2 linked regions of the Schizosaccharomyces pombe genome follow. The gene in region 1 interacts genetically with each later gene. Each region holds a gene or a part of one and is shown in the gene's direction. Other genes may lie near its edges. The genes, in order: oxa102 and cox18.

Region 1 (4,278 bases):
TAGGAACCAATTTGTGGAATCGATAAACCCCTAAAGAAAAGTTGAGAATTAGAAATATGTTTAAAAAATTGTCTTTTCTTACAGTGTTAACAAATGAGCATATAACCCTAATGTAAATATCTTTAGCATCAAGCGAAACAATTGAATTGAGCACTGAGAAGTCAAGTTCATCTAAGGATTAGCCCGCCGTATTAATAACAAAAACCTACATACCGATAGAATCGTATAAAGTATTTGAAAGGAGAACTACGAGAAAGCAGGAAAGCAGGGACTGATGCAGTCGATGATCATACGAAGGTGGATGAGCAATTTCAGGGATAGCAATACCAGCTGACCTGAAGAAAGAAGTTAGCAAGAACATACTTCAAATTTCAAATTGACCAACCATATGCTCTCCTCTGAAGAGGCATATTTTGAAACAGTAAATTCGTGTTGAAAGCAAAGCTGAAAAGTTGACGACAATAGAGAAGTCAAGTTAGAGAAAGAGTTCGGTAATTCAATTTCGTAATTTAAGCCCAACTCGCTTAGTAGTGGTTTTAAATCGTCTACGGTTTGAGAGAAGTCTTTTTGAAAATACGTGCGCACCCAATTGCTGGAGTTAGTAGATTCATAGAGATATGGTAACAGCCGTGTAAGAATTAGGAAGCTATTTAGTAAAGCATTCTTTTTTAAAGGATACTGCTCTGAAAACTTGTTTTGAATTGAAACGATGTTAAGGACACAAACTTGCAACAATATGGCTAAATTGTCAAACTTGTTGCTATCCCTGCAAATGCGTATGTCCTGAGCAAGAATAAAACTGAAAACATCATTTTCAGTCAAGTTGCAGGTAAATAACTGCTATGTTAACAATTTCCAAAGTGTACCAACTTACAAACTCGTAAATTTCACGCTCGGGCTTAGTATTTAAAGAAGCAAGGATTGCATGACGAAAAGAAATTCTATAAACAAAAGGCATTAGTAATCGAAATACCGAACAAAACGAGTACTAACTTGGATTCCGCGGATCCCATTGATTACAATATAATGCTAAATATGAAAGTTTAGATTTGAGAAAGGAAATGCTTTAATTCACAACACGCCTTTAGAAATAAGAGCAATCAACTTCTGCAAAATATGCTTTCTGTTCGATGTCGGAAATTGTCTTTAAAAGCTTTAGTAACTGGTATAGTCCAAAATGTTAGGTAATGCTAACAACCTAAATACAATTTTATAAATGGAAGCCTTTACTTAAATTCCAATTTGGCTTTACAAAAGTAGCACAGCTAGGAAGTAGGACATACGGTACTATGATGTCGTACAGTATTGCCAATTTATTGCAGTAAATACACATACTAAATTTGTTGACAGTATAACGATAAATCGTTATCTTTCATTAATATTGACAATTCATAAGTATTGTCACTGCAATTCGTTAGTATTAATATCCACTATTACTCACTATAACTAAACATGTACTATAGTCATATTCTATTCATGTTTAACCAAAGACTCGTTTCTCAATATACCAAGGAAATGTAAAAAAAAAAAATAAGAGAACTCGCTTAAATCTTTATATCCTCTTTAGAATCAATAACCGCTTTTGCCATAACTTCTAAATCAAAAAACACATGTATCACTAACTTCTTTGTAACATAAACCAATGTCATTATTGGTCAAACGATCGCTTTGCTAGTTTATTTTCATTGTTGACTTTGACGCTTGTGTCAGATTTAACTGTGTGAAACAATCTAATTATAAATAGTCAAAAAATAGTATGTATTTACTTATATAACGACAGATACCACACTACACCGTGTGCCAACGCGCACACAACTAAATTTCAATATCTCTACTACCTTTTCAGGTTATTTTACCAGTTAATTTACCCACTTTTAACTTGCAATTAAATTTTTATTAGAGGATTTTGGATCTATTTATATGTTTTTTTGGGTTTAATCGCTTCATTTTATTTTTGGGTATCTTGGATAAACATTAGCTGGTTCTTCGATTTGTAAAAACATATATCCTTGAAGTTCGAGCTTCACTATTAATCAAGCATGTTTTCAGTCATTGGAAGAGGAATAAAGTTTTCTTCGAAATCTCATTACTCGGTATCATGCTTTTTGATTGCTACACAAGGAGCGAAGATTCGCCAGATCCACACACATAATACATTTTTTAAGAATTTCTCTTTTGCTAAGCTTGGCCGAAATCAGCGTACTTCTTCCTTAATAAAAATTCACAACTCTTCGACTTCTTTCCCCAAATCTAGGTCCGAGAAAGTGGTTTACACTCCTAGTCTGCCATTGTCGTCCTCCGTCTTAGCATCTTTTTCTTTCTTACCTCATAATATCCTCCAAAACGGCCTTAATACGCTTCATATTTGGAGCGGCCTTCCTTGGTGGGCTTCAATTGCTGCATGTGCTGTTGCTATGAGAATTGCAGTATTTCCTATTATGTTAAAGATGATGAAAACGTCCGCAAAGCTCGCTATCATTAACCCAAAGGTTGCTGAACACATGAGTGTGTTGAGTAAAGCAAAGGCTGAAGGAAACAGCGAATTAATGATGCAAGCTACCACTCAAATCCAAAACCTTTATAAAGTTAACAATGTTAACCCTTTGAATTTGCTTTCTGCTCCTGTATTTCAGGGAATTCTGTTTATTAGCTTTTTTTACGCGTTGAAGACAATGGCGGGTGTACCTGTAGAGGGTTTCACTGATGGTGGTTTTTGGTGGGTTAATGATTTATCCCAGCCTGATCCTCTACACATATTTCCGGTTGCAAACGGCCTTCTTATGCTGCTCAATATAGAGCTTGGTAGCGAAACTGGAAGTAATAAGGTTGCTATGTCTCCCTCAATGAAAAAATTTTTTAGATTTCTTTGCCTTGCCAGTCCACTATTCACTATGAATTTTCCTATGGCAATTTTTATGTATTGGTTTCCTAGCAATGTCTTCAGTGTATTTCAAGGGGCATTTTTGCGTTCATCCACCATAAGGCATAAACTTGGCTTACCAGAAGTCCCATCTGCTATGCCAGTACCGAACGCTCAAAATGAATCGTTTGTTAAGTCATTTACCGATATTGTCCATGGGGTTCAAGAAAAAGGTAAATACCCACAAGCCTCTGAAATACTAGATGCTACACGTTTCCTTAAAACCGATACAAACAATGAGCAAAAACCTACTAATAATAGTACAATTACCAAAGCTACTACGCTATCTGATAATTCTCAAAATGACAAGTCCTCTTCTGTTACCAAACCCACCGAGAAGAAAGATTAAGCTTTTTTGTGTGCTTTGGAATTCTCTTTCTTAGAAGTGTTCCAATGTCCTATTGAGAGCATAAAAGTTTGTAAGATATGGTTAATTTTTTACATTTGTTGCATTATTCATTTCTTTCCTTTGGCTTTATCCCATAATTTTACATATGTTTTAGTTTTTGCATATATCTTCACACTTGCAACACTCTTTTCTATTTCCTTTACTTCTAATAAAATACCCAAATTTACATTTATTTTGCTTATTCTTTCTAAAAATCGCTTTTGTCTAATTCTTTACTACGGAAAGCGATGAGAAATCAAAGAATATTTACAATAACCTAAAATTTGACGTAGCCGTCTAAACAAAAAATAAAATGATTATTAACTCTTAAAGTGTTTTATGGATATTTATTTTATCAATAAAACTATCGTTATTTCAGTTAGGTAATCATGGAATGTAAGTTTCATCAAATCAACTTAGTTTGCTTCTCTCAAAAATGAGCAAGGCAATATAATTAGGAAGGAATTCAGGTAGTATTTGGGTTCCCTTTCTACAAGTTCATTTCTTATTACTAACACGATTGGTTATTAAGATATGTTTGTCTAAGCGGCGATTGTTTGTAAATTTTTAAATATACAGAAGTAAAGATTATGATGAAATATATCTATATTATAAAAAAAAAAAAAAGTACTTAGAATTGTAAACAGATATGTTTTTTGTTCACATGGTTCATTGAGAAAAGCAATTACGAATTTCTTTGCTTTTCGTTAAACCATTTTCCAAAACCGCCGGGACGATGTAAGTATAACAAACCAGAATCTACCAAAACTTTTTGCAAGAATATCTAGCATTTTACCCAGGCTGTATATAGGCTTGCAAAAGTTACTAATATGACTTCGGGTCCTCATAATTTAGAAGACCCAATAGTTCGAGCAATTCGCCAAAAAAATCAAGCTCCTTCTCATGATTTTACAATATTTGTTCAAGAAGATGGCTCTAGTGTTAGCACACTGGATAGAGTAGTGAAAAG
Region 2 (3,604 bases), on another chromosome or scaffold:
CATCCTTTTTCCCTTTTTAATGGTCTTTTTACGAAAAAACAAGATCATGTTTGATTAGTAATTTTCTTCTAGGAGATTCCTTGCCAACTATAAGTTGGGTGTCCTGTATCGACATCGATGCCATTTCTTGCTCATTCAATCGTTGCACTGCGATCTCCATGCCTAACCTCATTATTATAAAACGATAACTATTACCACTCGTTCCCATAATCCTTACTTACGCTTTAAAACCAACTTATTTGCTCTTCTTGTTTAGTAATTTTATAATATGTCAAATTTATTAGTGCAGGTTTCCAAGACCGGCCCATCTTCCGTTTTGCAAGTAATAACGAAGGAAATTCCCAAACCAGCACCCAATGGCTTGGTTATTAAGAATGCATATGCAGGATTGAATTATATAGATACTTATTTGCGAACCGGTTTGTATACTGCTCCTCTTCCTTATATACCTGGTAAAGAGGCAGCCGGTGTTGTTGCTGCAGTCGGCGATAAAGTTGAAGCAGATTTCAAAGTGGGTGATCGAGTGGTCTACCTTACACCATTTGGTGCGTATGCCCAATATACCAACGTTCCCACCACATTAGTTAGTAAGGTCTCTGAAAAGATTCCATTGAAGATCGCTTCTGCTGCTCTCCTGCAAGGCCTTACTGCTTATACACTTATTGAAGAAGCTTATCCTGTGAAAACGGGAGACACGGTTGTTGTGCATGCCGCTGCCGGTGGAGTTGGTTTACTTCTTTGTCAGATGCTGAGAGCCAGAAATGTTCATGTGATTGCTACGGCATCCACTGCCGCCAAACGTCGTATTGCCATAAAAAACGGTGCTGAAATTGCTTGCTCTTATGAAGACCTCACCAAAGTAGTAGCAGATTATACAAATGGTAAGGGGGTTGATGCCGCTTACGATTCTGTAGGAATCGATACACTTTCATCGTCATTAGATGCGCTACGCAATGGCGGCACTATGGTTTCTTTTGGAAATGCTAGTGGTGCCATTGATGCTATCCCTTTGAAATTCCTATCTGCCCGTTGTCTTAAATTTGTTCGTCCGTCGCTGTTTGGCTACATAACTGGTCATGCTGTCTTTGAGGGTTATGTATCGCGACTATGGAAAGAGATTTTGGACAACAATCTCAATATTGCAATTCATCATATTTTTAAGCTTTCTGAAGCGAAAGAAGCTCACGATGCTATTGAAAGTCGTGCCACTACTGGTAAACTGTTATTGCTTTGTAACGAAGATTTAGCTGATGCTTAAAAATTAGTTTGATAGAAATGAGCTTTGCGTTTGCAGCTAACATTTGAATACATTGAACATTTTGGGCTAATGACTTAATCTTAGAATGGCTTTTGACAGCAATGCCCATAAATTAGTGATTTAGTATCTTTCAGTTTTTCAAATTTAATGTCAATGTGTATGATTCTTTATAAAACTTATATTAATATTTTAAGCTGTAAGTCCTTTTTTTTTAACCAATTGTTACGAATATCTTTTTTTCCTGCTTACCTTTATTCAATCAGACTCATGTATTTTGTTCAGCTCAATTTATATTTATAAGTAATGTACTTCTGTAGCATCCCACTCATTATAATAAATCGTTCTAATAAACATCGAAAACGCGTTATTAATTACAAAAAATAACCATGCTATAAATTTGAAGCATTCTTAAAATACTAAACATGAAATACAACTATTTTTTCTTGGCTAGAAGTTAGTACCAGCAAACTCGAAATTTGCCCACCTTCCCAAACCTCATCTCGTGTATGATATTACATCTTCTGCTTTCATGTACACCCATATTTTTCTGAACTACAAAATTTTTTTCTTACGCATTTAAATATAATTTATTAAAAAGGTCAATATGCTTCAAACATTAATAGGCGTTCACTCGTACATGCCATGGTGCTATGAAATTCCGGCAATGGCTATATTCCTTCGTTCTACTATTACATTGCCAATTGCTATTGCAAGCCTTAAAACGGCTCGTCGGTTTGTGCAAGTGCAACCACTGATCAAAGAAGCAAAGAAACGTTGCCGAACAAATACCGATTTCCGTACTGTACGAAAAAAGCTGTACAAAAGGTTCAATTGTCATCCTCTCATGATTTACGCATTGCCTATTACTCAACTACCTTTATTCGCGTTTGCATCTTATCAGTTAAGACAGGCAGTCGATGTATGTCCCGAGAGTATGTCAACAGAGGGTATGCTTTGGTTTACCGATCTCACATTACCAGATCCTCACGGTGTACTACCTGCGGTCCTTGCTGTTACTTATTTAACAAACATGTCTATATTGAAGCGACCTTCGGATTCTCGATTGCTGAAAATATTCAATACCGCTGGTATAATGTCTGCTTTCTTTGTATCTTTTATGGCATTTAAGACTTCTACGGCATTGTCTTTATACTGGACTACCTCTGCAATTTACTCTTTGGTACAAAACGTTGCATTGAGAAAGCTGTTATAGAAGAGCAAGAGTAATTCTACATGTTTGGTTCTGAAAGGTCTTAACAAAATCAAACCTGACTAGTCGAGACTCACATATTATTCCTTCTTTCTTTCCGTACATAATTACCTACATTCTTATGGTAAAGCTAGGTTTTTGATTTGTTATGGCCTACCAAAAGGAAAATCTTTTGTCACAAAACATCTGATCATGGCAAAAACTGACTGAATTAGTAATGAAAAATAAGATACTTTATTATTAAAATGCCAAATAATATTTAATAAATATCATTAGTATTACAGGCTTGTTCGTGTGACATGAGTTTGGCATTTCAAGGATGACTACCTGCAAAGCTTTTTGAGAAATGCAACCTCGCCGATTACTCCATTTTTAAGGAAGAATTTAACTATTGATTTCATGTAAGTCGTTTTTAAAATTTACATTTTTTTTAAAAACATTTGACTTATTCACACTGTTTATTACGTTAACTACGGTAAATTTCGATAATTTTCCCACTTGCACATCCTTGACTTAAGCTAACCACCACTATGAGCTGCATATTTTGTAAAATTGTTAAAGGAGATATTCCTTGTGTGAAACTAGCTGAAACAGCCTTGTCTTTGGCTTTCCTTGATATTGCTCCTACATCTAAGGGACATGCACTAGTTATTCCCAAGGAGCACGCCGCTAAGATGCATGAACTGAGCGATGAGTCTTGTGCAGATATTCTTCCCCTTGTCAAAAAGGTGACAAAGGCTATTGGTCCTGAAAATTACAATGTACTTCAAAACAATGGTCGCATTGCTCACCAATTTGTGGATCATGTTCATTTCCATATCATTCCCAAGCCTAACGAAGAATATGGATTAGGAGTAGGCTGGCCCTCTTATCCTATTTCTCCTGAAGAAATAAAGGCATTGGGCGAGGAAATCAGCTCTAAGATTAAATAGTTTTTTTTTGTTCTGTGTGTCTCGTTGAATCGAAACTTTCCTTGACTTGGCGAGAACTATAAGGAAAACATGAGCCCTGTCTTTGTAGAATAGGCTTGTGTTTTTCATGAAAGTCGTTATTGGGTGTTGTTTGACGTTTATGTTTTTTAGAAATGAAAAGTTTGTTTTATACACTTTTACCTACTTGTTTTACCTTTCCAATGT

What was found.
Region 2: mutations in oxa102 (region 1) and cox18 impair growth when combined (synthetic growth defect), as found in Schizosaccharomyces pombe (one study listed by BioGRID).

Annotation. Positions count from the first base shown.
Region 1 is NC_003423.3:2,869,859-2,874,136, forward strand, and holds oxa102 (translocase Oxa101), read left to right. Parts: upstream 1-1,857; 5' UTR 1,858-2,039; coding exon 2,040-3,269; 3' UTR 3,270-3,635; downstream 3,636-4,278. Other genes in the region: SPOM_SPBP19A11.07C (uncharacterized protein), read right to left, coding at 1-30, 83-171, 214-335, 386-837, 875-941, 994-1,013; calcium-dependent serine/threonine protein phosphatase calcineurin catalytic subunit Ppb1, read left to right, coding at 4,139-4,277. UniProt on the Schizosaccharomyces pombe protein: Required for the insertion of integral membrane proteins into the mitochondrial inner membrane. Essential for the activity and assembly of cytochrome c oxidase. It is essential for viability while oxa101 is not.
Region 2 is NC_003421.2:1,792,633-1,796,236, reverse strand, and holds cox18 (protein Cox18), read left to right. Parts: upstream 1-1,740; 5' UTR 1,741-1,862; coding exon 1,863-2,471; 3' UTR 2,472-2,960; downstream 2,961-3,604. Other genes in the region: zta1 (NADPH quinone oxidoreductase/ARE-binding protein), read left to right, coding at 269-1,258; hnt1 (adenosine 5'-monophosphoramidase), read left to right, coding at 2,999-3,400. UniProt on the Schizosaccharomyces pombe protein: Required for the insertion of integral membrane proteins into the mitochondrial inner membrane. Essential for the activity and assembly of cytochrome c oxidase.